3 linked regions of the Diceros bicornis minor genome follow. The protein of the gene in region 1 interacts with the protein of each later gene in a pairwise test. Links are inferred from orthologs where the notes say so. Each region holds a gene or a part of one and is shown in the gene's direction. Other genes may lie near its edges.

Region 1 (10,397 bases):
AAATAAAGACATTTTTATTTTATTTTGTAAGGAAGATTGGCCCTGAGCTAACACCTGCCAATCCTCCTTGTTTTGCTGAAGAAGACCGGCCCTGGGCTAACATCCGTGCCCATCTTCCTCTACTTTATATGGGACACTGCCACAGCACAGCTTGACAAGCAGTGCGTCGGTGCGTGCCCAGGATCCAAACTGGCGAACCCTGGGCCGCTGCAGTGGAGCGCGCGCACTTAGCCGCTTGTGCCACCCAAGACATTTTTAGATAAACTGAAACTGAGAGATTTCAGCAACAGAAGATCCAATAAAAAGAAATTCTAAAGGGTGTTTTCCAGGCAGAAGAAAATGATCCTAGGTGGAAAATCAGAGATGTAGGAAAGAATGAAGAGTAATAAAAATGGTAAATATGGGAGTCAATTTAAACTTTGTTCAAAACAACAATTACTATCTTTTGCAATATGTGTATTTATGTAGAACTACAATACGTGGCAATAATACCCTCTAAATTGGGAGGAACCCTCAGGGATGACCGGCAGGGGACCACCAAATCCCCCTCAGGAGCTGCCTGTCCACTCATCTTGTTCCCTGGCTCTGCTTCACGTTCCCTTCTTTCCCCTGCCCGGGCCTCACCTGCTGTGGACTCCCACCTGGTTTTGGATTCAGGGCAGTGCCAGCCCCCTAGCTGGAGTGTACCCCGTTTGTGGGGGGGCATCAGGCTGCTTTAAATATCTCCCTCTCGTCCTGAGCAGGACCACTCACAAGTCTATTGCTAGGCCTTCATTTTTAGCTCCCCACCCAAACCTTTTCTACAATATTTTTCCCCCTGAATAGTACATGTTCATTGCTGAAGACTTGAAAATGACAGATAAGCACACAGATTAAGATATAAATTCCCTGTAATTGCCCTGCCCAGAGACAGTCCCTGTTATAGACCTGGTGACAGGTCTCTTTTCTATGTATATGTGTGGTTTTCTTTCTTTAAAATAAAAGAGGGGGATCATGGTATACACAGTGTCATCTCTAATGCACTGCCCACCGTTCCCGTGTCGTGACTGCTCTTCAAAATAGGATTTTAATGACTGCACAGTTTTCTGTCATGTGGATATGTCATTATTCATTTAGCCATCTCTTTCCTTCCGTCCAGCATTTATGTTGTTCCCATTTTTTGTCCTACATGTTGCTGTGATGAATGACCACCCTCACACACACATGATTGTCTTCCTAGGGTAAGTTACTGGAAGTGTCTTTGCTGTTCAGGGACTGTGCCCATTTCTACGGCTTTGGAGAAACCAGGCCAAACTGCCCACCCAGCTGTGTAAATCTTTACTCTGTTTTGGATTATGCTAAGCTTTTCTCTGAATTTAAAAATCTGCCTTCTTGACAGTCCCTTTTCTATAAGGCTTTCTTATAAGACTTCTCATCAGGATTATTCCAGGCCCATGACTTTCTTCCTGCCATGGCTGAAGCAGCCATGACCTATTGTGGTCATATAAATTCTCAAGGATTCATAACCTCTTTGGACTGGTCAGAACTTGATTTAGGAGCATACAAACAGAATAATCCAAAGTAACAGTGGCTTAAACAACATAGAATTATATTTCTCTCTCACAGATTTTCATCTGTGAGAAGTTCAGAGGCAGACAGGCCAGGCTGGAATGGCATCTCCCCCCAGTCATCTGGGCCCTGGCTCCTTCCAGCTCCATTATCCTAGGATGTGGCTTACATCCTCATGACCCAAAATGACTGCTCGAGTGCCAACCTCTACATCCCCATTCCAGGCAGCAGGAAGAAGACAGTGTCTCTCTTCCGTTATAAGGAGACTTTTAGAACTAACACACATCATTTCTGCTTACCTCTCATCAGCAAGAACTTAGAAGCAGGCCACCAGGGACAGCCCACAGTCAGGGGGAGGGGACTACACAAGGTGTGAGAACCGGGAGGGGCAGTCTTAGCAGTCTGTGGACCCCAGCACCCGACAGCCTGGAGCCTGGCCATCACCATTGCGGCCTGCCCTGCACGAGGGCTGGCACACGGCCTGGCCCCAGGCAGAAGGGCCTTTATTAACGACAGGGCACTGGGACCTCAAGGCTGAAGGCAAGTTTCTCTGCAGTCCTTCCCCTGAAGTGGGGCTGTTGCCATCCTCCTGGGGACAACGCTTCTTGTGGGGATGCTGGGTTTCCGTTTACCTGACCGCTTTGGGACAACCGACAGGCTCTGAGAGAAGGCAGAGATGTGGCTTCTGGCATAGGACAGGGTGCAGCCCTGAGCAGGCTCTGGAGGGTCCATCACTACCCGCATCACCTCTCCCCAAGGCGGCTCTCTCCGAAGCCAACGCACTCTCTGCCCTGCAAGTGGGACAGCTGCCCCGGAGGCCCCCACCATCCTCTGTGCCCCTCTGCTTGCTCACTTACTTCCCCCCAGGTGGTGAGGCTCTGGAGACTGGACCCTCTCACTACCGGCCTGCCCTCCCATCCCCCGAGGCAGGAGATGCCCACAGAACTTTGTGGATCAGGGGTCCTCTCCCTTGCAGGGGAGACTCTTGGTCGGGGAGTCATTCTGGTGGGGGACGTCTCTGGGGTCAAAGCCGCTTCTCACTGCACAGCCACAGCCTCTCCGGGCACGGCGCCCGCCCCTCTCCTCCCCTCCCCCTCGGGCTGCAGACTGCGGGAGGTGCTGGCCCCCGGCCTCCACGGCCCCTCCTCTCTGGGGGCTACACGTGGGCTCCCGCCCCGAAGGACCAATCCCGCAGGTCTCCGCCAACCGTAGGGTCCTCTGGTTCTGTGCAGGGCGCACTCGCTTCCCCCTTCCTCCTCGCAAGGGGAGCCCGACCCGCTCCCCGCAGGGCTGTCCCGGTGAGGCCCTCTCTCGGCCCGGCCACTGGGTGGGCAGGCGCCCCCCGCGGGGGTCTCCAGGCTCCAGGCCCACGGCCGGCCCTCCCTGCGACCCCGGGCGTCGGCCGGGGCTCCTGCCGAGGGGGGCGCTTCTTTCGAGGGGTGCTCCTTCCCGAGGAGGGGGCACCTTCCCCACCGCGCCTCGACCCTCACCCCCTCAGCGTCGCGCCTGTTGCCTGTAGCTTCCCTCCCTCTTCATTCTCAAGCCGCCTGGCCCCCCACCTCCCAGCAGCGTCTGCTTCCCAGCCGCTCACCGCCGGGCCCCGCCCCCACCGCCGGGCCCCGCCCCTCACAGGGCCCCCCCCCGCCCCGCCCCTTACCGCCGCGCCCCGCCCCCACCGCCGGGCTCCGCCCCTCCCCTTACCGCCGTGCCCCGCCCCCACCGCCGTGCCCCGCCCCTCACAGCAGGGCGCCGCCCCTCACCGCCGGGCCCCTCCCCCACCACCGGGCTCCGCCCCGCCCCCACCGCCGGGCTCCGCCCCGCCCCGCCCCTCACAGCAGGGCCCCGCCCCCGCCGCCGGGCCCCGCCGCGCGCCGTGCTCTCGCCAGGGAGGAACGCTGTGATTTCAGCGTCCGCGGCGGCTTCGGGAGGCGGGCCGGCGCCGCGTCCGGCCATTGGTGGAGGCTGCCGCCTCTGGCTGTCAATCCCGCCGGTCCGGCCTGGCCCCGCCCCGCCGGCGAGTCGTCGCGGGACGCACGACAGCGGGTGCTGCCGGGACGGGTCCAAGATGGCCGAGCGCTTGGGTTCCTCCCCTGCTTGCGGCCCTGGGTCTCATTCATTGCCGCGCTGCTGAGCGGCGCCGTCAGCGGGCCCGTGGGCTCCGGAGGCTGTCCCCGTGGGGCGGGAGGCCGCCATGGCAACCCTGGAGAAGTTGATGAAGGCCTTCGAGTCCCTCAAGTCCTTCCAGCAGCAGCAGCAGCAGCAGCAGCAGCATACCCCGCCGCCTCAGCCCCCTCAGCCGCCGCCGCAGGCGCAGCCGCCGCCGCCTCAGCCGCCGCCGCCTCAGCCGCAGCCGCCGCCGCTGCCGCCGCCCGTCCCAGCCGCGGCCGAGGAGCCGCTGCACCGACCGTGAGTGCGGGCCCCTGCACTCCCCACCCGGCGACCGCCGGGGACAGCGGCGGCCCTGCAGACCCGGCCCCGCGGCGACACGGCCACCCCGCGGCCCCGAGCGCAGGGAGGGCACACGCTGGGCACGCCCCTCCCGCTGCGAGAGCCGGTCCCGTGTCCCTCCCCGGCGCCTCGCGGGTCTCGTTCCTTCTCGGGCAGGCACTGCCTCGCTGGCCCTCCTGACGCCACCGAGGCGGTCTCGGCCCCTGTCCTCTGCCTTCCCCGGCAGGCGAAGTTGGGGAAGGAACATGCTGCTTTATGTTTGCAAGAAACTGGGGCTGTGTTGTGAGCAGAAGTTGGAAGAGCCGAGAGCGCGTCTCGTTTGGCTTCCTCTGGGCCTCTTCCTTTCCCTCTCTTAGTTGAGAGGGAGGAGGGCTGGGGGCGCAGGACGCTTCGCGAGGAGCCAGGAATTGGAGCTGGAGTGATGTGGGGATAGTGCATGACATCATGGCTTTAGGACGTGGGGCTGGGAGGGCGGGGGCGTGCGGACGCGGCCCAATGGAGATTCTTTTTCCAGGGGCCCTTTAAACAGCCTGTGACATTCGCAAGACATTTCATTTAGTTCGGGAATGCCAGTGGTAGCAACAGGATTTTAAGCATCGGGAAGAGACCCGCTTGTCTAAGCTCAAGCTGGTATGCGAGCACTTGAATGAGTTGTGGTTGCCAAGTGCATAAGTGGTGAGCTACTTAGACGGTTATTATTAACAAGTGAGAAATAATAAAATTGACTTAGATATTAGGAAGAGTTGACTGAAGTTTTTTGCCTATTTTCAGTTGGAAATAAAAACGACCCATGGCTGAGGGGGAGGTTAATTGCTGGAGGGTGAAGGATGTGCATTTCACCAGTGCAGTACTGTAGTCCAGCTTGCTGGAACGTGGGTGTCTGCAGACCCCGGGGACGTCTGTTTCCTTCGTTGCTGACATTCTGGCATTGTTTGGAAGCTAGGGGTCTCTGTGGCTTGTGCCTGGGAGAATTTTTGAAACAGAAGAAACCATGAATAGCACCTTCTAACAGGACCCAAGTACTTTTCCCTGAAGTCTTGGTGTGCTGAGTGTTCAGCAGAGATTAGGCCTTTCTCTCATCTCAGGGCATTTTATTTCTGATCTGGGGATGTACAAGATGGCATTTAATGAGGATAGTTTTCAAGAAGCAACCCCTTTAAGAAACTCACTCTATTAAAACTGATTCATTTTTAGTAATGTTTTCTTGTTCTTTGTGTTTCTGATACGATCTTTGCTGTGTCCTGAGAGTTTAATTAAAAAATGAGAATTTGAGGAGTAATGTTGGCTTATCTGTTGGAGTAAAATTCAGAAATAAATTAATTTTTCTTGTAAGAGGAAAAACCTGTTTGGATACGTAGAGGTTTTTTTTTTTTTAGGAATTGGACTTATCTTTACAGCAGGTAATTTATAATCATAACCCATTCCAGACTTTTATTGTACTGCGTCTGCAGGAGGTGGATGTCATGGAAGTTCACACATTGCATGGATTTTGTGTAGATTACACGGGGAAGCACTAAGCAGGGCTCTGTGGGAAGGAAGAGCTAACTGTTGTCACTGGTGGCTTGTTCAAACACTTGGTCAATCTAAAAATATGCCTTCTGTTTCTTATGCTGATTTGAGAGAACCTGAATTTGCTCATCTTCAAAATATGGGTATAAAGAAGTTTCTTTCTAAAGCCAGCTTGACAAAGTAGATTGATTTTGTTTCTTTACTTTAGTTTATGGTAATGTATGATGGACTTATTTTAAAAATTTAATCTATTATTTTTGCATAAGTAATACATTAACATGATACAAATTCCAAAATTACAAAAAGGTAATAATTAAAATCTCTCTCCCCCACTCCTTTCTCCTGAGTACCTAACTCTGTTCCCAGAGGCAAGCACTGTTATACTTCCCCCTTTTGTCTCCTTCTGGATATAATCTGTGCATAAGTGAAGATAGATTTTAAATTATTTAAAAACAAAAGTATTTCAGAATAGTAACTTTTAAAAGTTCTTAGCATGCTCTGAAATAAACTGCATTAGGCTTAATTATAGTGACTTTAAATAAAATACACAAATATATTTTTATGTACTTTGCTGTTGAGAAAATAGATATTCATTAATTTTGAGTAACAAACTCACTGCTTACATGTTTGGATCTTGGCATTTCTGTTCAGATGCTTCAGCTGAAAAATCCGTTCCCCAAAGTAAGATTGGCCAAAAGCAATTTAGATAGTATCTGTTCTATTTTTATGGCTCTTGCTCTCTGTTGTGTGAAAGTGTAGTGTTATAGCCATGTGTGGGCTTCAGCTGAAGTATCTGAGTGCCTGCTCTCGGCTCAGCATATAGAGTGCAGGGCTTCTGGTGGGACTGGCATGCAGGGGAGTGCCAGAGCTTGGGAGGGTCCTAACTGTGATTATGAGTCAGTTGACATTTGTCTTTGGCACTTTCTCATTCTCCTTCAGATTCCGACCTAGTTTTCCCCTGACTTTAGTTATTCACTCGTCAGTAAATATTTGTTGAACATCTAATATGTGCAGGCTCTGCCCTCGTGAAGCTTTCATTTTAGTGAGGGACATAGACAACAAACAAGATAGATACCAGTATGTTAGATGGTGGTAAATGAAGGAGGAACAGCAAAGCAGGGAATGGGGACCAGGCAATGTCAGAGTTGATAAGGTGTTGACGTTTTAGATAAGGTGTCCAGGGAAGATCCACGGAGATGGTGGCTTTGGAGTAAATACCTGAAGAGAGTCAAGGTTACAGCCATGAGGGTGTATAGAGGAGGGGCATTCCAGGCAAGGGGAACAGGTCTGAGGCGCCCCTGTTTGAGGAATCACAAGGAGGTCAGTTTGGCTGGTTGAATTAGGGAGAGGGACACTCTTTGTAGGAGGTGAGGTCAGAGATGGAGAGGAAGTACCACCCAGATTAATAGGCCCTTCTTTGCAGATGGAATAAAGACATTGGCATTTATTCTAAGTGTGAGGGGAAGTCATTGGAGGGTTTGGTCAGAGGAGTGGCAAGATTCGAGTTCCATTTAAAAATGAACACTGGCTGAGAACAGAATGAAGGGGAGCGTGGGCAGAAGCAGGAAACCAGTTAGGAAGCTGTGGCCGTGAACAAGCGAGAGATGTTGGTGGATTCTGTCTGGATATTGGCATAGCAAGGTAAGAAGTGACTGAATTTTGAAGGTAGAACCAACAGGACTTGTTCATCTCTGTCTGCTAAGCATAACATAGTGTAGCTATAGTTGGTGTTATCAGTTAGGATTGTATTCAGCAGCAAATAACAGAAAACCCTGCTGCAATCGCTCAAACAGATAAGAGTTTATTATAAGACAAAAGTAAGTCTGTTTGAGGAAGTTCAGCAATAAGATTAGGGACCCAGCCTCTTTCTTACACTTAGCTTTTAAGCCCTTGTCCTCATTCTTTCCCATTTTTCAGTTGAGTTATTTCTCTTTTTGTTGTTGAATTGTAACAGTTCTTTATATATTCTGGATTTTAGACCCTTATCAGATATATGATTTGTAAAAACATTCTCCCTTTCTGTGGTTTCTCTCTTCACTTTCTTGCTAGTTCCCTTTGAAGCACAAGTTTTTAATTTTGGTGAAGTCCAGTTTTCTATTTTGTCTTTAGTTGCTGTGCTTTAGGTGTTATATATACAAAAATGTTACCTAATTCAAGGTCACAGAGGTTTATTACTCCTATGTTTTCTTCTAAGAATTTTAGAGTTTTAGCTCTTACATTTAGGTCGGATCCATCTTGAGTAAATTTTTACGTATAGTGTAAGGTAAGGGTTCAGCTTCATTCTTTTGCATGTAGATATCCATCTGTCCCAGCATCATTTATTGAAAAGACTGTCCTTCACCCATTGAATTGTCTTGGCACCCTTGTTGAAAATTAATAGCCCATAAATGTATGGATTTATTTCTGGACTCTCAATTCTCTTCCATTGGTTTATATGTCTATCCTCTACCAGTACTAGATAGTCTTGATTACTCTAGTCTTGTATCACAGTTTCAGATCGTGAAATGTGAGTCCTCCAGCTTTATTCTTCTTTAGGATAGTTTTGGCTATTCTGGGACCCTTCTGTTTCCATATGAATTGTAAGATTAGATTGTCAGTTTCTACAAAGAAGCCAGCTGGGATTCTGATGGGGATTGCATTGGATCTGTAGATCAATTTCGGGAGTATTGGCATCTTAACAATATTAAGTCTTCCAATCCATGAACATTGGGAAACTTTTTATGTAAATGGTTAGATAGTAAATATTTCAGGTTTTGTGGGCACAACGTCTCTGTCACAACTACTCAACTCTGCCTTTGTAGAATAAAAGCAACCAGAGGCAATATATAGATAAATGAGTATGGCTGTGTTCCAATAAAATTTTATGAATGACATTGAAATTTGAATTTCATGCAATTTTCACATCATGAAATATTATTCTTTGATTTTCTTTTTTGGCCAACCATTTAAAAATGTAAAAACATTTTTCGCTTGCAGGCTGGCCAAATACAGGCAGGCTGTAGTTTGCCCAATCGTAGATTAAATATGATAGGATCACTTTTGGGAAGCATGTGTTTTGGTTCCTTTTTATTAACTAGTTTAAAAAATTATACAAGTTACACATATACATTGTAAAAACATCTGCAAACAGCACAGAAGATGAAAAACAAAGCCCTTCTCCCAGTCTCGTTCCCTAAAAATAACAGTTATTAAATTTCGTTTGCTGCCGCTTTGATTTTTTTTTTTTTTTTTTTGTGAGGAGACCAGCCCTGTGCTAACATCCGCCAATCCTCCTCTTTTTTTGCTGAGGAAGACGGCCCTGGGCTAACATCTGTGCCCATCTTCCTCCACTTTATATGGGACGCCGCCACAGCATGGCTTGCCAAGCAGTGCGTTGGTGCGCGCCCGGGATCCGAACCAGCGAACCCCGGGCCGCCGCAGCGGAGTGCGCGCACTTAACCGCTTGCGCCACCGGGCCGGCCCCCGCTTTGATTTTTTAATGCACATACAAACATTTAAAGGTGTCCTTTTTTTTTTGTTTGTGTGACTGAGATCACACTATATTTTTTCACTTAGCAATAACAGTAATAATAGACATTGTCCCATAGCTGTACATATAATTCTTATTAATTGCTACATAATAGTGTAGAATTTCTTTTTAAAAGAGGACTTTTGGAGATGTAAAGGCGAAGATCTTACATGGTCCTGGCTTTCAAACCGGCTGCTGACATATTCTTTCCGCCCTAAGAGCCCCACCCGTATTACCTCCAGTCCCTGCAAGCACTTGGTGAACTACCGTGGAGTGGATCTACCCTCAACACATTTAGTCTTATTCAGACAATAAGGAAAAATAAAATATAAGACACTGTTTAAAGATATGGATAAAGATAAAGATATAAGACACTGCTTAATCTTGTGTTAAATTGAATCAGCTCGGGTGCTAGAATATGTGTTAGAGACAAGATATGCCATAGATCCTTGCTGCTCAAAGTGGAGTCTCAGGGCCAGCAGTTTGGTATCACGTTGGGGGTTTATCAGAAGTACAGAATCTCTCCCCGACCTTAGACCTACCAAATCAGACTCTGCATTTTAGCAAGTTCTGTGAGCAATTTGTATGCACGTTAAAGCTTGAGGAGCTCCACTGTAGATGCTCAGGCCTTGCCTTTGTTGTGGTCGGTAATGCTGTCAGCATTTGGGAGGGAAGACTTATGTTGCTTATATATGTCCAGGTGTAGCTGAGGCAGTCTGTATAACTTCTCTACCTAGGGCCCTTGAGCATTTGTGTAGCTGCAGAGTAGGCTGTAACACTGACAAGTGAGCTGCGGTGGCATTAAGAGCTCCCAGCTACTGGGAATGGGGGCTTTAGTGGGGATTGGACTCGATGACCTGGAAAGATTCCTTTTGACCAAGTGCCTATTGTGTGCCAGGCCCTGGGCGCTGGCATTACAGGAGTGAGCAAGACAATGGTGATAAATACTAGGGGGAAAAACAAAGCAGAATAAGGAGGAGAGGGCATGTGCAATTTTATTTAGGGTGTGAAGTGTGCTGAGAAGATGACACTGGAACGGAGGGAGCAAGCCATAGTGATATCTGGAAGAAAAGAGGTCCAGGTAGAGGGAACAGAAAAGCAGGAGTGCTTTCCATATTTGAGGAATAATAAGGAGGCCAGTGGCTGAAGCAAAATGAAAGCCAGAAATAGGAGATGAGGTTAGAGGGGTGGGAGATCAGAGACGAGGGTCAACCCTGTGGGGCCTGTACCCAATCTAAGGACTTTGGAATTTACTCTGACCAGGTGCACACTTGTGTGGTCAAACAAGTGATCTAATTTATGTTTCTAAAAGATGACTTTGACAACACGAAGTGCTGGTGCAGATGAAACTGGGTCACTTAATCGTTGCTGGTGGGACTATGAA
Region 2 (10,397 bases), on another chromosome or scaffold:
ACAGGTTATTTCAAATGCCAGCAGGGTCACCCACGGTGGACAGGTTTCAGCAGAGCTTCCAGACTAAGACAGACTAGGAAGAAGGACTTGGCCACCAACTTTTGAAAAAACTGGTCATGAAAACCTTTTGAATAGCAGCAGGTGATTGTCTGATATAGCGCCAGAAGGTGAGATGGCGCAAAAAGCTTGGGCAGGGTTCTGCTCTACTGTACACAGGGTCGCTAGGGGTCAGAATCGACTTGATGGCACTAACAGCAACAAAAACTCTTACCGTACTTTGAATCTGTACAATTCAATTTAGCTCTGAATTATATAATCTTCTGTTTTACACTGTTTCAGATACCATCTTGTGCCCTTAATTATAGTCATATGCAATTTGAGGGTAATGACCCCATTTTAGAGATTTGTGGGCCCATGGTGCATACCATTTGTCCTAGACATAGCGAATATAATCGACAAACTGACAAGGTTTTATCTTGAACTCCTCGGACTTTCATTATCTCATAAGATCACAGAAACTCAGAATTGGAAAAGACCCCAGACCTTGTCATGTAGTCCAACTCCCCCGCCAGGGCAGGAATTCCCTATAGATGGCTATCCAGCCTCTGCTTGAACACTTCCAGGGCTGGGGAGCTCACCCATCTGCAGGCAGTCTATTGTACTGGAGGACAGCTCTCTCTCCTCACCTGCTCCCTTTTACGAAAAAGATACATCCTCAGATTCCATTGCAGAGAGACAGAGGGCGAGTTCTGCAAATTGTCCTCTGCCAATCCTGTGCCCATACCACCGTAAACTGAAGTCTCAATATGCCTCTTTAAATCCTGCACAATCTGACCCAGGCCCTACCTACTTGCTTTGGAATCTTAGGCAAATTATGTCACCTCATTAAGTCTCAGTTTCTTCATCTGTAAATGGGGCAACAATTCCAACCTCACAGGTTGTTGCGGAGATTAAATAAGATAATGCATGTAAACATTGTCTGGCCTACAGCAAGTACTCGGTAAATACTAGCTGGTGTGAATGGAGGGTTATAGCAGATGCTGGCATGATTGGAATAAGGCAGGCTAGCCAAATAAGGCATCATGCCTGAGATGAACCTGAAGTAGTGCTTTTCAGAGAGAAAATGAGGGAGCTCAGAGAACAATAAGAGAGCATTTGGGAATGGCCTTTGGATAAGAAAATGGAGTTTCTAGCTGAACTGAAAAGCATATATTTAAACATTAGCAAGGGTCGGGGTTGCGGGGGAGCCACCTAGTTAAGTACACAATTTGACATTGAAGTTAATTGGGAGTCACTCCAGGTTTACGAGAAGTAGAGTAATGGATCACAGCAGCCGGACTCAAGAAAGAGAATTCCTGCTGCTGTGAGGTTAGACTGGAAGGAAAAGAGCAGACAGGAGACAGGTGCTGGTTCAGTTATGGAGGACTGATCTTTGACATCTGGGATTTTTGAGTTCTGTCTATTTCTTATACTTTTTTTTTTTTTAAAGATTTTATTTATTTATTTTTTTCCCCCCAAAGCCCCAGTAGATAGTTGTATGTCATAGCTGCACATCCTTCTAGTTGCTGTATGTGGGACGCGGCCTCAGCATGGCAGGAGAAGCGGTGCGTCGGTGCGCGCCTGGGATCCGAACCCGGGCCGCCAGCAGTGGAACGCGCGCACTTAACCGCCAAGCCACGGGGCTGGCCCTCTTATACTTTTTTGTTTTGTTTTGTCCCATTCTGAGCATATGTAACTGCCATTAGGAGCTGGTCTATAGAACCTCTATTGCCCCTAATCTAACAAGTTGTTTCAACCTGTAATGGGCCAAAAACCAAATAATCAATCTTCATTCACCATTCATTCGCTCACTTATTCACTCATTCGTGAATACATCTATCCACCAAACAGTCACAACAACCACTGATTTGACTAGGCTCTGGAATAACGTGGAAATGAATAAGACATAGCCATGGTTTTTAAGGGGTTTACAGACTTCTGGGATAAACAGATTCACAAATAACTCTTACACTAGACAGATTCTAAGTACCACAAAGAGGAATGAACAAAATTCTATGCTGGGGGTTGAAACAGGGGAGCAAATCAGGCTGTATTTGGCCAGCAAATGTTTTGTTTGGCCCACATGGTGTTTTACTTTGTTTTTTAAGATTAGGTGCCAACATTTAAAAATTAGGACACTTCACATAAAAACCCAGATTTCTAGCCTGTGATGAAAATAGGAAGATTTGAGTACACTAGGCCAAATCCTGCAGGGTGGTAATTGGCAGGAGCTGAGTGGCAGCTGCCCCGTTTAGGCCGAGCACGAGCTCTCCAGTGTGCCACACTCCTTGCCATTTCCTATTACTGTCTGACATCGAAGCCAAACGTTCAGTTGCTAGTTATCAGCAGCTTGTGCTGTGGGTACTTTTACAACAGAGTTAAGAGAAAAGTAAAGAGAAATTTTTCTTTTACTCAAATCTCTGTTAAAAGTAGAAGTGAAAGATATACTGGTAGGGCTATGTGTTTCAAGAAAAGTGGGGTGTAGAATAGAAAAACACTCCTAGGGAAACCAGACAATTCCTCGTGTTTAGGATGCAAATAAACATCTCCCATTTATGTTGCCTGCCTGACTCCTGCAGGCGTTTGAGTTTGCAGCCTCTGTAACACAGGGAAAAAGTCATGTAGTGGCTAAGAGCATTGTCTTTGTAGTGAGGAAGCAAGCTGGCTCCACCCCTTACTCACTATGTGACCCTGACAAATTATTTACCCTCTCTGTGCTTCATGTTCCTCATATGTAAAATAGAGGTAATTACAGTACCTACCTCAGAGGGCTGTTGTGAGGTGACAGTGAGATAAAAGACATGAAGTTCTCAGCCAGTGCCTTGCACATGGTACGCGTTAGCTATTACCAGTGCAGTTCAAAAGAGAGAGCGACCATCTCCAAAGGGAGCCTTAAAGGCTGTTTAGGATTTCATTGTGAGGAGACGAGGAAAGAAGGCATGCTTTCTTCACACAGAAAGGCCTAAGAAAAGATGGAGAGGGAATGGCAAGTGTCCTGTTCCAGTGGCCAAAACAGAGGCTTCACAGTGAAGCTGACAAGATCATCCAGGACAATTTTGAAAGTCAGGCAGAGGAGAACTATCCAATAAGTCAGTATTTCCCAAAATGCATCATTGTGTGATAGGTTTAGGTGATAAAAATGGACATTAAGTAACACTGAGTCATAAAGTGAGAGGTCATTCTCCTTGGATTCTCTGTCACGCCTTCTAATCAAGCGTAGTTCTTGGTTTGCTGCTATTCATCCCACGCACCTCTCTGACCACACTTGCTAAACCCCCGGTTCTAGAGAAGGTAGACCTCAGGCTTAAAGGCTCCCTAGCAACAGTATCTAGCTACAACTTATTAACACTGTCTTGTTTCTCCTGGTTTTAAGTGTTACAGTCACCTTATTATAGTGATATTGATTTTCAAATATGGAGCAATAAAATTTTCTTGTAAAATCATATTTAAGCGAAAATAAGTGAGAATTTAGAGAAAAACGTGAAGTAAACAAGAGTATGGGAAACACGTATGTGGATGTGACAAAACTGTGCAGTCTGAGAAACACTGTCATGGGTGTAAAATGAGCCCAGGACGGATTTTAAGTAAGGGAGCGACAAGACCAGATTGTGAATACGTGTAAAACCCCCCCGCCAGCCCACTACCTCACGTGTGGCATATCCCTTTGCTCCCTCTCCAGACCTCAGTTTCTCCAACCGCAAAGGGACCTCGCAGTCGCCCAGACCCGGGGTTCAGTGCCCTCAGCCCAGGCCGCGGGCCCGTTGCCCCTTGCAACCACAGGGGTTCACGCAATGGCTCCCGCCATCCCCGGGGGAGATGGCCTCCCGCTCCTCCCGGATTGCCCCGCTCCTCACCACTGCTCTGCTTTATCTCTCCACGTCAACACGGCCCGCATCGCGGCTTCCCTCAGGCCTCGGACCCCTCCTAACCGCCTCAACAGCAGTCCCCGCTCCCCGAGCCACTTTGGCTACCTGCGCTACCCCTGGCAACGCACATGCGCAGTGAGCTAGGCGCCCGGCCGAGAGTTCCGAGTGCGCATGTCTAAAAGGAAGGGCTAAGAAAGGAGCAAAAGGAAAGAGGGAACGGGAGCCTCGAAGGCGTCTGCGCAACTACGGCGCGCGCGACTGGTCGGAATGGGCGGGGGGCGGTGCGTCTTCCTCGACAAAGGATTTGATTGGCGGAGCTGCGGAAATGGCGGCTGTGGCCAACTGGGTGGCGGAAAAGCCGCTAAGGAGGATGACAGACTTTCACTGCCTTCAGCTTGTGGTTTCACCTAGCGCTCTGAGCTGAAGAAGTTTTCACATCTTACTCTGCTCCACACCCAGGGCGTTGCACCCTCTCGGTCGGTTGCTGAGGCTGGAGCCCGCTTGAGGGGCACAGCGGGGATGGAGAGTCCGAGTCTGGGGGACTGCGGAGCTGCCCCCTTGGGCAGCTCCAGTGAGCGCCTTGTCCCAGACCGGCCTTGTGACCTCCGGTAAGCTGTTGCCCCCTTTCGAGCCTCGGTTTCATCAGCTGTAAAATGGGAGCGGGGGAGGAGAACGTGGGTGGGCCTTTGTAAAGTAGGGTCGACAGAGCCGTCGAGGCCCCCCGGGTGAGATACTCGGAGGTGAGGCTGGAGCTCAGGTTCTCCTGGGGTGGGGTCAGCCCTGGGGTGCTCCCGACTTCGTTAGCCAAAATGACGAGGGAGCCGGGAGTAGTAGGGAGGTTTTGCGGTGCAAGAAGCCGTCTGCGTGGGTTAGAGGATCCTGGGAAGACCTTGGAGGAGATGTCATGTTAAGCAGCCAGGGGCGCCCCAGAAATGGGTTCTGTGAGAAGTTAACAGAGGAAGCACTAGTCGTTTATTGAGTACTTGTGTATGTGCGATATGGGGCTAAGATGATTTACCTACTTTTCTTTTTCCCCCCAAATTTAATCCTTAGAAAACTATCTTAAAAGAGGTATTACCTGCTTTTTACAGATGGAGAAAGGAGACTTTGAGAGATTAAGTAACTTGCTCTTGGACACATAGCTAGTAAGTGGCAGAGCTGGATTTGAGCCCAGGCGGTTGACCTTAAAGTTTGTGCTGTTTTCACCAGGTTTCAGTTTCCTTATCTCTAAAATTGTGACCTATATAATTTCTTAAGATCCACCCAGCTCCCCAAAATTATTTAACTCCAAGTTACATCAGAAGACCTTGATTCTAATTCTAGTTAGTCACTAGGTTTTGCTTAGTTTTCCTATTTGTAGGAAAAAAGTTGGGTTAGACATCTCTATAGACCCATTCAACTTTTAAAATGTGTGATTTAGTGATTAGGATACACTCTACTGAAGTTTTTCAATAATAGTATAAGGAGAGAAGTATTAGATCAATATTTAGTAGACCTGAGTTCTGGTATCAGTTCTGCAGTTAACTTAATCTTCCTGTCACAATTTTATCAATAAAATGAGTGATCCTTATCCTACCTACCTCATAAGATTACCATGAGGATCAAGAATGAAAGAGATGTGAAAATTCTGTATCAGAAATTATTACATTTTAGAGGGTTACAGCATCTGATGAAAATGATAGACACTCTCCCCCCAGAAAAATGCACATATACATAAAATTTTTACCTCACTTATTTGGAGAGGAGGAAGGTGTCTCATTGACTCCTTTAAGCAGTGCTGTTGATCCCAGGCTAAGAGCGCTGCTATTGGTTTATATTTTTAAACTTGTGCCAAATGTCACCAGAAATCTTTATAATAGCTTTATTCAATGATTAACAAAAAAATCTTATACCAAATAGCTTGAGCTTTTCATTGTGCAGAGATGCCCAACCCTTTTTAACCCACGTTGGAAGACAAAAAGATACTCCCATAGCAAGACTGGTCTATACTGATTCTGATCTCTCCCGTAGTCCATATAGTCCATGTGGTTCCTGCTCTACATGGATTGAAATTGAATAAGCAGAGGAAAATAAATTTTAAATGAGCTAATCACTTGTACTTTGTTTTTTCAGCAAGGAAGATGTTGTTCTGGGATCAGAAACCGTGGGCCAAGATGAGAAACAAATGGTGATAAAAAGCAGCAGTGAGCGTAATCCCCTGCTGCAAGAACCCATTGCTTCTGCTCAGTTCGGTGGTACTCCAGTGCCAGAATGCCATAAGTCTGTCCCATGCGGATGGGAAAGAGTTGTGAAGCAAAGGTTATCTGGGAAAACAGCAGGAAGATATGATGTATATTTTATCAGGTGAGCGTGCAAGATAGTAAAGATAGTACAGCCAAATAATTTTGTCTAGACAGTTAGTGGGAAAGCATAGTGGGAATCTTGGCTTTTTTCTGTTTTTACCATAAAACCATTATGGATTCCATTCCTTCAGTGTCACTGGTTAATTATATCAAGTGATTTGGGGACAAGTACATACATTTTCTCCTACTCTGAATGGTTAACGGTAAAGTTGTACTTAAGTTATATTTGTAAAATTATTTTATACTGTCATACAGGAACCTATTTAAAAGTACCATTTTATCACTGTTTTTTATTTTAATGACAGATGCCCATGGCAACATTTGGAAATTATTAATAAAAAATCTGAAATGTCCAATTCTTTTTAAAAGTCACTTTTATTTACTAGTAATAAGTTTCCTTTAATATCATTTTCTAGCCCACAAGGACTGAAGTTCAGATCCAAAAGTTCACTTGCTAATTATCTTCACAAAAATGGAGAGACTTCTCTTAAGCCAGAAGATTTTGATTTTACTGTACTTTCTAAACGGGGCATCAAGTCAAGATATAAAGACTGCGGGATGGCAGTTCTGACATCTGGACCACAAAATGAAAGTAACAGTTCAAACTGGAATCTCAGGACACGAAGCAGGTGGAAAAAAGATGTGTTTCCTCTGCCAAGTGGTAGTTTGAAATTACAAGATAGCAGAGGACTATCTAACTTTACTTCCATTCATTTGCCTTTGAAAGAAGATGAGGGTGTTAATGATGCTGGCTCTGGGAAGGTTAGAAAGTCCAAAGGAAAGGTGACTATTTTGAAAGGAAGTCAAACTAAGAAGACTAAAACAGGGTGTCAGAAGAGTCTTTCAGCTTCTATTCAAAGTAATAGAAAAAGAGAATCTGTGTGTAATAAGGCAGATGCTGAAAGTGAACCTGTTGCACAAGAAAGTCAGCTTGATAGAACTTTCTGCATTTCTGATACCAGAGCAAATAACAAGACCCACAGTGTGACCAATGAAGAAAAAAGACACGTAAAAGAAAAATCATTGAGTTCAGGATCAAATTTTCGTTTTGATCAAATAACTTCTGGCATCATAAACAAATTATGTTCAGCCAAAGAAGCAGAACCCAACAGGAAGCGTGAGGATAACTTTTTAGAGTCTGAGGAAATAAGAACAAAAGTAGAAGCTGGGGAAAGGGAGCAACATTTGCATACTGACATTTTAAAATGTGGCTCTGAAACAAACAACTGCTTACAAACCAAGAAAGACTCTACTTCTCTGAAAACATTTCAAGGTATTCAGTGCACTAAAGTGCTATAAAACATGTGATGAGTTTATACTCCCGGATGTTGTATTTCATGCCTGTACCCGGTTAGGATGTGGGCATAGAATGAAGAAATAGGGCCAAACATCAGATACCTTCTACCAATTGATCTTAGTACCTTGTCTAACCGATCTTCAAGCCGTTTCCTATGGCAGAGAAGGAATCCGCTGCCTACTGCCTTGATACCTAGCAAAGGAGAATTGTGCCATTAACAGCTGCTACCGTCTCTCCCTGGTGTAATAGCTGGGACGCTGCTCGACAGTGCTTTCCCTTCTTCCCATCTTCTTTCCAGCCAGTAATCTTACAACTTTAGGGAAAATGAAAAGGCTTCACTTGTGAAAAGGTTTGAGGAAGACTCCTTTTATACATAAACTGGTTGAGAATAGTCGGTTTCTTCTCTTTGCACCCCTCTTGTTACTTATTACTGATAGGTGACTTCCAATTTAACTTTGTATATATCATAGTCATTTTTATCTTTTATTATAATGTCATGTGTCTCTAAAATGCTTTAGAGCTCTGAATAATTCAAACCTGTAATCACATAGTTCATCTGTTATTTATAATATACTCTTAATACAGAGTTCAGAGCTTAGCATTTTGCCTTTGTAGTACCTCAGTGAATAAGAGATAAAAAGGAGAACTTTTGAGCAGCCCTGTATTAGTTATTCATTATGCCCTTATGGTATAATGAATAACTCCTTTAAAGAAGAATAGAATACTCCTTTAAGAATAATTTTACTTCAAGTCCTGTGGGGAGATGGCCTGGAGAAATTGGTGGAGCAGGGGGTAGACTTGATTCCTGCTGTCAGTCCCATTCAGGATTTTATGTCTTTGCTGTACCTGGGATTTCTCTACCTTTTTTTTTTTTTTTTTTCTTTTTTTCTTTGTGAGGAGATCAGCCCTGTGCTAACATCCGCCAATCCTCCTCTTTTTTTTGCTGAGGAAGACGGCCCTGGGCTAACATCTGTGCCCATCTTCCTCCACTTTATATGGGACGCCGCCACAGCATGGCTTGCCAAGCAGTGCGTCGGTGCGCGCCCGGGATCCGAACCAGCGAACCCCGGGCCGCCGCAGCGGAGCGCGCGCACTTAACCGCTTGCGCCACCGGGCCGGCCCCGGGATTTCTCTACCTTTAACAGAAGATGACCCTATATACCTAGGAACTGCATAAAAATTCTTCAAGTCTGTCCTTTAAAGACTTTGAGCTTCTTAAAGACTTGAGGTTTATGTAGATTCATTGCTAGTATAATGGACAAATAAAATATTAAAAACATCCTTTTGCTAATAAAATGGAAGTATCCTTTTCATTCTATATATAAAGAAGTCTAGTTCTCAACATAAGATGAAGTACCCTTAGGCTAATAGATGTCCAGTGCGATAGTAAAGACTTTCCCATTGGCTTAGTTAGAAATTGCCCCCAAGTAAACTGAGCTTCAGTCTCTTAGTAGTAAAGGAGGCCAGCTAGTAATGATTTATAGGAACCCACGGAAGAAATTATCAAGTAGCTAGTAAGAGCAGTTTCCTTTGTTCTCTTTTTTACTTTCTATTAGGCTTTGCCTGTTTAAACTAAAATAGCAAAAAACACTAGGCTAATTATCTGGAGGCCTGGATATTTGTCCCAATCTATAATCAATCCCACTATTGTTTTGAGATGGTTGCTTAATTTCTAAGCCTTAGTGTCTTCATCTGTAAAATGGAGGTAATAACCCTCTCCAGCCCTGTTTTTCACATCAAGAATATTGTCAAATGAGAAGTGAAAACAATGGCTTCGCACTATACAAATGCAAGGTATTATTAACTGACATTCAAATTTAGAGGGTATGGCTTATAGGGAATATTAAATGTGATTATTTTAGAAACTTGAGAAGCTTGATAACACTGGTCAAATAGTCTTTATTGCATTAACTGAGCTGCCCAGGAGATAGTGGTCTCAGGTGTTCCAAGGTCCAAATGTTAGGTTTTTCTGCAAGTTCTGTTTTGTCTGTTTCATTTTTTTTTTTTTGGTAAGTATAAAAGTGTTCACTGCAGAAAATTTGGAAAATATAGAAAATTAAAGGAGAAAAGAAAAATTAGCACAACCATTATACCATTTTGGTTTATTTTATTCTAATTTTTAATCGTTTTTTTTTCTTTTTTTATTAAATTGAGATCATGTAGAATATTGCTTTTTTCAGTTAGTTAATGACATGGGAAAATATTCGTGATATAGTCTCAAAAATATTTTAATGACTACATAGTACAAATGTGTCATAATTTAAAATATTCCATATTATTTCTAATTTTTCAGTACTGTGAACTCTGAACATAAATCATAGAGAACTAGTGTAAGAAAATGGTTAAAGGCAAGGACTCAGGAGCCAGACTGCCTAGATTTGAATTTCACCACTGACACTTACTAGCTGTGTGACCTTGGGCAAGTTACTTAGCCTCTCTGTACCTCTATTTCATTATCTGTGAAGTGGAGATAAAATAGTACCTAGCTTATAGGTCATTAGTAGAATTAAATTGGTTAATTTTTATAAAGTGCTTAGAATAGTGCCTGGCACATACTAAATGCTTTATAATAGTGTGCTGTTGTTATTATTCTTATTTGCATTCCTGAGTATTTCTTTAGGCTAAACTGTAGATTCTATAAACATGTTCACTTTTCCTTTTCAGAAGACACCATCCCACAGACACAAATAGAAAAAAGGAAAACAAGCTTGTATTTTTCCAGCAAATATAACAAAGCAGGTATCCCTTCCCCAATCAGAAAACAGATTTTAAATCTATTTCAGCTGTTCAACTCTGATGCTGTGTGTTTGTTTAGCTCTTAGCCCCCCACGACGCAAAGCCTTTAAGAAGTGG
Region 3 (10,397 bases), on another chromosome or scaffold:
CTTCTAGAAAATGAATGGTCTCAGACTTCAGTTTCTTGAAGAAGTTTAAATTTAGTTCTCTAGAAAAAGACAAAAAGAGAAGTGTTACAGGAAGGTGAGATGTGGCAAATTGTTGTAATATGTTGTGTGAATTACTGTGCAGCTGTCTGGGCCCTTTACTTACCCACTCCCAACTTTTTCATCACTTTCCAAGAGAATGAGTGTCGAATGAAGGGAAACTAGTTTATTCCATTCTTTGTAAGTATCTAAGGGATAACAAAGAGTGGGAAAGGAGACAACCCAGTAGCTAAAGTGATGCATTTCAGTTATCCACAGATGTGTATTGTGCTGTTTTTCACCTGCCACCATAAATAATTAAAATTTTGATAAAGTATTAGGAGTTACGGTTGAGTGCTTCAGGGCTAAGACTTTTAATACTCAAGATACCTCAGTGTGTATTCATTTCTTTTGAAATATCCAAGCAGTTCTAATTTCTACCCAGCTCTAGGGGAAGGGTGCTAAGAGTAGCCAGCAGATTTCACTGTGTTCGTATATGACGTTAGATTTTACCAAGTGCTTTCACATCCATTTTCTCGTTTGGTCCTTACAACTGAGAGGTCAGTAGCATCCCTGTTTTCATGTATGAGAAAACTGAGGCTGAGAGATAGTAATTTTTTCAGGATCACACAGCTATTAAAGGGCAGAGCTGAGACCGAGACTGGAATATCTGACTTCAGGTGCAGTGTTTCCATGACACTGTGCTGCTTCCTGAGGGTGGGGGAGCTTGGGCTCCGAAATTCCAGGCATTAGTTTGCTGATCCCTTTTACTCTCTCTCCTCGCATCCTCCTGGATAGCAGTCCTTTGAGAAACAAGGTTTTCATTCCGGTACTCCTGCTGCCTCCTTCAACTTGCCTTCAGCCCTAGGAAGTGGGGGGCCCATCAATCCGGCCACAGCTGCTGCCTATCCACCTGCCCCCTTTATGCACATTCTGACCCCCCATCAGCAGCCGCACTCCCAGATCCTTCACCATCACCTGCAGCAGGATGGCCAGGTAATAGCCCTTTCCCTCTCTCCTTTCCCTTCCTCTTCCTTCCTGTCCCTTAAAACTGCCTCCCCTCTCCTTTTCTTACCCTTCCTCACCACCACCTTCACCCAGTCCTCCCCAGCGCCAGTCATGGGCACACAGCACATACAGACACAAGCGCACATAACACAAGTGGCCGGCAAAGGAGATGTCAGAGGAGGGGCCATTGAAACCTTTTTTTGCCCCATTCCTTTGTTGCCTTTCTCCTCCACCTCCCGTAGCACAGTTGTCCTCATCCCATTAGACCTTGGTCACACCTCCCCTCTTACCTCTCCCAGCCTTCCCCCTTCCCTGACATTATAGCTTTCCCTTCTAATGGTGGAGTTCTATTGTCAAAGTTTGTCCCTTTATTTTCCATATATCCTGGTTCTGCCTCAGCTACCATATTTGCAGATGATTCTCTGTTGCCAGCGCCAGCAGGAGGAGCAGGTAATGAAACTCAATGATGATATGCTTGAACCCACTCCTTTTCAGTCCCCATTTCACCTCCACAGCCTTAGGGACTTTGAAGAGAAAAGACTGCACGGTCACAAATCGGGATACACAAACACAACACCTTGCTGAGCTCTCTGGCCTCCCATTCCTCTCTTGTCCTCCCCTCCTCAATGCCCTCTTTTTCTTTCTACCCTTCCCTAACTCTGGAAACACTTGGTTACCGGAATGGAAAGGATTCTTTGGGCAGCATCTGGAGCCTGGGGCCTCAGACTCTCTCTCCTGAAATGGGCTCACAGATGTGATGTGTGATAGGGGTGGGGAGCCACGGGGTGGTGTGAGCGACCTCTGCTCCATCATAGGTGGCTGGGGAGCTGGAATAAGAGCTTCCTTGCTCTCCAAGACAGCTTTCCAAATTGAGACATTCATGGGGATCAATGAAAATGAAATCACCTTGTGATCACTCATCTCCAAGAGGCCATAATTCTCTGTAGAGAGTAGCCTTTTCTCAGACCAGGGGAGGATGGAGGTGGGGGTGGGTGAGGGGGATTTGAAAATGCATAGAACTGATTCACTGTCTTGTCTCTAAAGGTATCTTGCCCTCTTTTCATCTTTCCCCTATCTAAAGAAAGTGCTTTCTTATCAGTGGTGCTCTAGCAGCCATATAAACCGAATTTTCTATTGTTGAGAAGCTTCAGAGCCGTTTCTAAGCAAGGGGGATGGGAGAGCAATTTCCAAATCTCCACCTGAAGATATAACAGTTTGTCCTAACTACACACCTTTTTCCTCCCCATCATCCTCCCCATTCCCCTGCAGACGGGCAGCGGGCAACGTAGCCAGACCAGCTCCATCCCGCAGAAGCCCCAGACCAACAAGTCTGCCTACAACAGCTACAGCTGGGGGGCCAACTGAGGCCCTGACCCTCTTCTCCCGGTCCCATCTTCTGAGAGGGCTTCTCAGCCTGGCAACTATGGAAACAGCATCAAAGAGAGAAAGGAATGTGGGGGGGGTTCCGCTGCCCCCCACCCCCAGCGGCCCACCCCATGCCTCAGCTTCATGTCTGTCCCATTCCCATCCCATCCCCACTCTGTTGTATGTATTATAGGATTTGTATTTTCTCCTTTTTTTTTTTTTTTTTTTTTTGGTCCTTTCCTCTCCTCCTCCCCCCTTGCATTCAAGATTATGAAACTTTGCTGTGGGCCTTGCCCTTCCTTCTCCTCCTGTTCACCCTGGTGGTGTATGGGTGAGGTGGGGAGGGGGCCCCCCCAAATATATATCAGCCCAACAGCCCTAAGTCTCCTCCTTTATTATTAGGAAACAAAACAACAACAACAAAAAATGGCGTCATGAATATGAAAAGCGTTGTCAGATGAATTAGTTGAAGTGTTTTTTTTTTTTGTACTGTGTCCTCAAATTTAATGGATTAATGTGTCTTGTATATATAAAAAAAAAACCTTTACCTTCAGCCTCTGCCCATTCTTACTCTGTCTAGGATATCCTCAGTCTCGTCGATGACCAGCTTGGTGAATAAGTATTACTGTACCAACTGGGCCTCTAGGCCCCGAAGGCAGTGGAATAAAATGAAATCTTCACCCTTTAAGAACTCCTCTGACCCTAATGTGCTACTGTCTTGCCCTTGAGGGGATTCCCTTCCGTTCTCCCCTAAGACTTGCACAGCCTGGTGCCTGGAAAGAACCACCACAAATCTTCATTTCCTCCAGAAATCGACATCTACAGCAGATTTTAGGCAGTGAAGGGAGTGGGATAGTGGATATTGGATGGAAAGCAAGAGGATTAAGAAGGAGCGGAAAGAAATGGCTTTGTAGTCCAAGTATAATTTAGATGGGTCCAGGCAAATGAACTGGAAAGAATGGGAGGCAACATACACTGTTGGATGGCAAAACTGACGCTTGGGGCTCATTTCTCCTAGTAGACTACAGCAGTTCCTGCTTGTTGAGTGCTTTCATTTCACATGGCTATACCCAACTCCTTAAAAAGGAAGAGTCTAGAGCAAGGCCAGGGTTGGGATGGGGGTGGCGGGTACAAGGGGGGGAGGGTTTGAAAATCAATGATGGGAAAAGGGGGATAATTATAGCCCCAAATTCTTCCCTTTCAAGACCCTTCCCTAGATTTCCCTTGCTCTCTTAGAAAGCTGTTATCCTGCTGGTTGCAGAGCATGCCTAGAATCAAAAGAATCCTTCATAATTAGGACAAACTCCTTAGTAGCTGGAGAGGAAGTTAAGTCCTTGCATCCCCGTGTCTTTATCTCTGCACAATTCTGGGGAATGCAGTACTAGAAGGAGCTTGATAAAACAGCTGTCCAACCCTCTAATGTTATACTTAGGTCAGTCAAACCAGCAGGACCGAGGAAAGGGGCGAGGTGGCTTTCAGACGGAAGGACCGGTAGTCCGTGGATGAGCCGGCGGTGAGGGAAGGTCTCGGACCGCTTCATTTGTGGGGATGGACTGCCACCTGGTGCCTTTATCTGGTACCATCCAGCGTCAAACCCTCCAAACACTATTGGACTGGGTTGGTCCAATCAGGAGAATCGGCTTAGGAGGCAGGTGATCACTGGGAAATAGAAATTTGCCCCGCCCACTACCCTCACAGGAAACAGGTAAACAGGGGTAAGGAAAGCCTTTCGAATTTGAGAGGACTGTCCGGCCTGCCCCCTACCGGCGTCTAGCGTACGGTCGTTTTACGACAGTGTCCTGCTCGCAGGCTTGCTTTCCGGCAGCGTGGTCTGACGTTTCGCTCAGTTTCCGACAGCGAAGCGTAGGCTGCCCCCAGGTGTGAATGGGCCTCTGGTACGGTTCGAAGGTTCGAGTCCCAATACGGGAATGAGCCTCTTTGACATTTTTCGGGGGTTTTTCGGCTTTTCGGGACCTCGGAGGTGAGAGTGGGTCCGGGTCGGACAAGGGGGGTGGTCTTCTGAGGGGAGCTTGACCCCTAACACCCAATTTTTGGAAAAACATCCTCTTCCCTACTCCTTCAACTCCTGCGGAGAGGACGGAAGTCACAACATTGAGCACTCACCCCGCAGCAGTAGCCAAGGCGTCGTTAAGAGGAGGAGAAACAGCACCTTAAGCCTTTCTCCAATCTGGGGTGATGCAGCAGGGCCCGGGCGGGGAAGACAGTGGGGCTCTGGGGAAGACGACAATGAGCAAGTGAGCAGGAGCTTGGGAAAGAGGGGAGGGGCTGGGGGACACTGAAGAAAAGCCGAGGGGAGGTGTTTAGGGGAGCTGCGAGGTGAGGACTGACTGATAAAAACTAAGACAAAACAAAACAATACCCAATGGCCAGTCCTCTAAACCTCACCTCAGCTCCCCAGAACCCTACTCTTATCCCACTTTGCCACCCGTGAGTTGATTTTATGGTTTAAGTAGTTCTGAAATCTTGGTGGCCAATCTGCCTCTACCCCAACTACAGAGATCCCTTTTTTGGAGGGATGACTCGAGATGAAGATGATGAGGAAGAGGAAGAAGAAGGAGCCACGTGGGGCCATGGAAGCTCGAGGTTTGAGGGTCCCCAGCCCCCGGAGGAATTTGGCTTCGGCTTCAGCTTCAGCCCAGGAGGAGGGATGCAGTTCCATGATAACTTCGGCTTTGATGACCTAGTACGGGATTTCAATAACATCTTCAGCGAGATGGGGGCCTGGACCTTGCCTTCCCGCCCTCCTGGTGTGTGGCTGCCCCTGAGGGAGAGCCTTTGGTTTCTGCTGGGTTGGTGGTTGAAATAAGGAGCCTGCAGAGAGTAGTTGGGGGATGGGAAGTGTGAGAAGACTGATGATTTCAAGGAGGTTTAAAAGAGCCCAAGTCCTTTCCCACCCCCAGCATCCACCTGCCACCTTTCTTCAGAACTTCCAGGTCCTGAAGCAGAGACACCTGGTGAGAGACAGCAGGAGGGACAGACGCTTCGAGACTCAATGCTTAAGTATCCAGATAGCCACCAGCCCAGGATCTTTGGGGGGGTCTTGGAGAGTGACATAAGAACTGAATCCCCAAAACCAGCACCAGACTGGGGCTCCCAGAGACCTCTCCATAGGGTGAGTACATCTGGGTCTGAAGCGAGAGCCTGTGGGAGACAACTAATGGAGTGCAAAGACTGGCATTCTTGTTGGAATCGAATGGACTTGAGTTGGAAACTTAGGCCCTCCACTTAGTGTATATTTTCTATATTAAGCTTCTTTTAGGGTTTTCTTTGGGGGAAAATGGGGGTTCTGTTTTTGTGTGTGTGTGTGTGAGGAAGATTAGCCCTGAGCTAACACCGGTTGCCAATCCTCCTCTTTTTTGCTGAGGAAGATTGGCCTGGGGCTAACATCCGTGCCCATCTTCCTCTACTTTATGTGGGACACCTGCCACAGTGTGGCTTGATGAACGATGTGTAGGTCCACACCCGGAATCCGAGCCTGCAAACCCTGGGCTGCCAGAAGTGGAGCACGTGAACTCAACCACTACACCACCGGGCTGGCTCTGGGAGTTCTGTTTTTTCTTAAAAAAAACAAAACAAAACCCTGGTCTATATGGTTCTGTGACAAGGCAGGATTGTTGGGGGAGGACAGAAAAGTATCAGTTCAGGAAGTCTTTTTGGTAGAAGAATACATAAAGCAGCTAGGCAGGAAGGCGGGGTGAGTAAATAAAGCTATCCTGAATGGGATTCTCTCTCCTGAAAAAAGGTAGTTTTGGAACTTGGGAATAATTTGGGTACTTTGATCCCTCAAGATTCAGATTGAAAAGTGTCATTTTATCTACTTTGGCTTCTTCTGCAGTTTGATGATATGTGGCCCGTGACCCCCCACTCTAGAGCCAGGGAGGACAATGGTGAGTCTGGAGGGAGAGGACGTTCACCAGACCTCTGTTCTCCCAAAGTTCCCTCTATTTTTCCTCCCTGAGGTTTCTTCCTGCCACACTTGTCCCCTTCTTTCCTTTGGACTCTTTCTTTCCTGTTTCATCTCTCTGCCCTTCTAGATCTTGATTCCCAGGTTTCCCAGGAGGGCCTTGGCCCAGTTCTGCAGCCCCAGCCCAAATCCTATTTCAAGAGCGTCTCTGTGACCAAGATCACTAAGCCAGATGGGGTGAGTTGGGAGAGAGGAGTAAAGGGAACTGTGGCCAGAGGATGCTCTGGAAAAAGGGATCTATGTAAAGAAACCAGTGAACTCACCTTTAGTGATGTTAGGGATATGGTGGGGGCTTCTCCTTGTAGACAGTAGAGGAGCGCCGGACTGTGGTGGACAGTGAAGGTCGGACAGAGACCACAGTAACTCGTCAAGAAGCAGGTGGCAGTCCTAGAGATGGTAAGTGAAGAGTGTGAATGAAAGGGGTCCATCTTTTAATTCCTTGGGGAAGAGAAACCCTCTTCTACTCTTTAATATTATTTTTCTCCTTTGCGTCTGCCCAATCTTTTTCATTTCAAGAAAGTGTATCACTTTCTTCCTTAGATCCAGAAGCACCAACACCTCCAGCCCTGGATGATACCTTTTCCATCCTGGATTTATTCCTAGGACGTTGGTTCCGGTCCCGGTAGCCTTGTTAACCCTCAGAGACCTTCAGGTTCTTTCCACCTTCCACCCTTTGCTCACCATCAATGGGCTTAGCCTCTTCTGCCACCTCCGGGCTTGGGTGTGTCGAACAGTGAATTGGGGGTATGTCAGTATGTCACTTGCCCAAACTGACTAATAAAACGTTTATTTATGCTAATTCTTTAGTCTTGGTTTTGTTAAGGCTGTTCCACTTTCTAGCACCATCCAGGGCTTCCAAAATTATCCTGCCCACAGTTTTCTCCTTATGTCTTAATTTTTCTTTCCACTTTCAAAACCTGGTTTGATAAGTAAGGGTCAGGTACCAGTAGAAAATGATTTTCTTTACAGAGGAGATAAGATGACTAGAGATAATTCCAGGAAAATTTATAGACAGGGATGCATCAGATTACAAAAAAAGGAAGTGTGTGAAAGTGTGGGAGATAACTGCTTCCCTAGATGTGGGATCACTATGATTGGATACTTCATGAGATCATTTGAGGAAGTATATGGGCAAATATTTCTTCCTTTATTGGCTATGTTTTTATTTTTTTATGTAAGAAAAAGTATAACTAGCAAAAACATTACTGGATCTTTTTCTCATTAAAAAAGTTTTTAGCACTGGTTTAGAGCGGCAGGTCTTACAAATTTATTTACCTCTGTTTCCTCTGGAAACCTCACGAAAATAACAATAAAGGGATTTTTCTAAAGAGGCATATCACAAGAACAAAGGAGAGGAGATATAGTAATGAACTTTTGTCTTTTTATTCTCTTTTTTATATCTTTTGGTGAACAGAAGATGATTCATTGTAGCCAAATTTATCTTTTCCTTTATGGTTAGTGCTCTTTATATCTTTTAGAAATCTCCCCAAACCCAAGGTTAAAAGGATGCTGTCCTTTATTACCCTCTATGAGTTTTTCAGTTTTGCCTTTTACATTTAGTTTTCTTAATCCACCTGGAATTTATCTTCCTATATGGTATGAATCAGGGGACCAGTTTCATTTTTTTCATTTGGGAAAAAATATATACACATATGCACATATATACACACATATTAACATATGTGCACACATACATATATATAAATACATGTATGTCCCTGTGCTGGGTCTTTCTACTCTTTTCTGTTAATCTATTTATCTATCTTTGAACCCATATTACACTTTTAAATACTATAGTTGTATTTAGTAGAACAAATCCTCCCACCTTTTTTTTTTTTTTTCCCCACTAACTTCTATAGTATATAAGAATACAATTGAGATTTCTAGTCAGCTTTTTACAGTCAGTGCTGGGGGTCTAGTGGTTAAGATTCAGCACTCTCACCACCATGGCTCAAGTGTTTCCTGGTCAGGGAACTACATCACCCATCTGTCAGTTGTCATACTATGGCCACTGTGTGGTGGTGTGATGCTGACAGCTATGCCACAGGTATTTCAAATACCAGTGGAGTCACCCATGGTGGACAGGTTTCCGCGGAGCTTCCAGACTAAGACAGACTAGGAAGAAGGAACGGGCCACCCACTTATGAAAAAATTTGCCATAAAAACCCTGTGAATAGCAGCAAAGCATTGTCTGATATAATGCCAGAAGGTTAGAGCTTGGTGCAAAAAGACCAGGCAGGGTTCCGCTCTGCAGTGTCACTAGGAGTTGGAATCGACTTGGTGGTACTAACAACAAAATCAGCTTTTTAGAGTACCATCATAAACACAAATGGAGCCAGAGATTACCAGACATCTGTGGACAGCATCCAACATGAAGGATGGAGACTCATACAAACAAAAGAAGCAACTTGGAAGAAACAGAGACTATGCAGAAAGATGAAAATTTAGCAAGAACACAAATCTTTAATATCCTTAGAAATATGAGATGATATACCCATAAAACCAAAACAGGATGCTACAAAAGAGGAATTAACAAAATAAGAATGAACTTTGGGGAGTTAAAAAAAATATGATGGCAGAAATGAAAAACTATAAAAAGGTCTGCATGCCAAAGTTGAGGAAATCTCCAAAACAGTAGACCAAATAACAGAGACAGAAAATAGAAGGAAAAAAGATAAGAAAATTAGGGTAGTATAAATTATCAAAGAAATAAGTAAAGAAAATAGCCCAGAAGTGAAGGATATTACTTTGTAACCTGAAAGGACTCACTACATGCTTGATATCAAGGATGAAAATAAATCCACTCCAAGGCACATCATACAAAATTTCAGAACACTAGAGACAAAAGAGAATCTAAGTGATTCGAGAGAGAGAAATCACATACAGAGGATCAGGAATCAGAATGTTCTCAAACTTAAACAGCAACACTGGAATTAAAAGACAATGGAGAATTATTTTTAAAATACTGAAGGAAAATTATTTCCAGTCTAGAATTGTATGCCCAATTAAACTATGAATTAAATGTAGGAGTATAATAGACATTTTTAGACATGAAATGGGGTATCTATAAAAGGGGTTTCTATAAAAACCTATACCAAACATCATATTTAATGCTGAAAGACTGATGCTTTCCCACTAAGATTAGGAACAAAGCCAGGATATCTGCTCTTATCCTACGTTGTATTGGAGGTTCTAGATAGTGCAATAAGGCCAGAAAATGGAATGGAAAGGAAGAAGTAAAACTGTTTACAGATGCCATGACCTTGTATGTAGGAAAAAATCCTAAGGAATCAACAAAAAAAAATTACTTGTAGTAATAATTGAGTAGAGCAAGGTTTCAGGATACAAGATCAATATACAAAAAAAGAACAAAAAAATGTTTTTCTACATATTGGCAACAAACAATCTGAAAATGAAATTAACAATTCCCTTCATAATAGCATAATAAAGAATAAAATACTTAATTCTGACAAGAGAAGTGCAAGAGCTGAACATTTTTGAAAACTACAAAAATTGCTGAGATAATTAAAATCTAAATAAAAGGAGAGATATACCATGTTCATGAATTGGAAAACTTAAGATAGCAATTCTATCCAAATTTATCTATAGATTTAATGCAATTCCTATCAAAATCCTAGTAATTTTTTTTTTGTAGAAGTTGACAAGTAGTTTCTCCTCAATGTGGGACCCTGTTCTGGAAGGTAGACCAGGTGCATCAGGTAGCCCCTTCAGACTGTCTTCTGTGGGCCTCTTGAAATCACCCACTATTGGAGGAGTAAAATCCATGCCAGTTTCAGCACTTCTGAAATTGACCTGCAGAACTTTCCAGGGAATACTCGAGGAGCATTTGGGGGTTCTCCTGTTCTTGGGTTTATCATATAACCTGTTGCTTTTCTCTACTCTCTGCTTCTTGCACAAACACTGGTGCTGTAGGGGTCTTATGGCTGTTGATGTCGTCCCTACCCATTTGTACTACAGGGTTTGAAAGTATACTTGTCACCTA

What was found.
Region 2: the proteins of HTT (region 1) and MBD4 interact in binary tests that used the Homo sapiens proteins (3 or more experiments, as listed by UniProt). The link is inferred for Diceros bicornis minor from reciprocal best matches to the Homo sapiens genes HTT and MBD4.
Region 3: the proteins of HTT (region 1) and HAX1 interact in binary tests that used the Homo sapiens proteins (3 or more experiments, as listed by UniProt). The link is inferred for Diceros bicornis minor from reciprocal best matches to the Homo sapiens genes HTT and HAX1.

What each region holds. Positions count from the first base shown.
Region 1 is NC_080747.1:2,407,203-2,417,599, forward strand, and holds the start of HTT (huntingtin), read left to right. Parts: upstream 1-3,615; 5' UTR 3,616-3,739; coding exon 3,740-3,954; intron 3,955-10,397.
Region 2 is NC_080741.1:87,873,393-87,883,789, forward strand, and holds the start of MBD4 (methyl-CpG-binding domain protein 4), read left to right. Parts: upstream 1-4,223; 5' UTR 4,224-4,424; coding exon 4,425-4,513; intron 4,514-4,996; exon of another isoform or gene 4,997-5,050; intron 5,051-6,017; coding exon 6,018-6,248; intron 6,249-6,663; coding exon 6,664-7,520; intron 7,521-10,208; coding exon 10,209-10,283; intron 10,284-10,359; coding exon 10,360-10,397. Other genes in the region: IFT122 (intraflagellar transport protein 122 homolog), read right to left, coding at 3,894-3,934. UniProt on the Homo sapiens protein: Mismatch-specific DNA N-glycosylase involved in DNA repair. Has thymine glycosylase activity and is specific for G:T mismatches within methylated and unmethylated CpG sites. Can also remove uracil or 5-fluorouracil in G:U mismatches. Has no lyase activity.
Region 3 is NC_080743.1:58,336,267-58,346,663, forward strand, and holds HAX1 (HCLS1-associated protein X-1), read left to right. Parts: upstream 1-4,293; 5' UTR 4,294-4,337; coding exon 4,338-4,390; intron 4,391-4,926; coding exon 4,927-5,177; intron 5,178-5,354; coding exon 5,355-5,542; intron 5,543-6,265; coding exon 6,266-6,317; intron 6,318-6,464; coding exon 6,465-6,571; intron 6,572-6,699; coding exon 6,700-6,790; intron 6,791-6,934; coding exon 6,935-7,020; 3' UTR 7,021-7,193; downstream 7,194-10,397. Other genes in the region: UBAP2L (ubiquitin-associated protein 2-like), read left to right, coding at 835-1,032, 1,444-1,494, 2,314-2,409. UniProt on the Homo sapiens protein: Recruits the Arp2/3 complex to the cell cortex and regulates reorganization of the cortical actin cytoskeleton via its interaction with KCNC3 and the Arp2/3 complex. Slows down the rate of inactivation of KCNC3 channels. Promotes GNA13-mediated cell migration.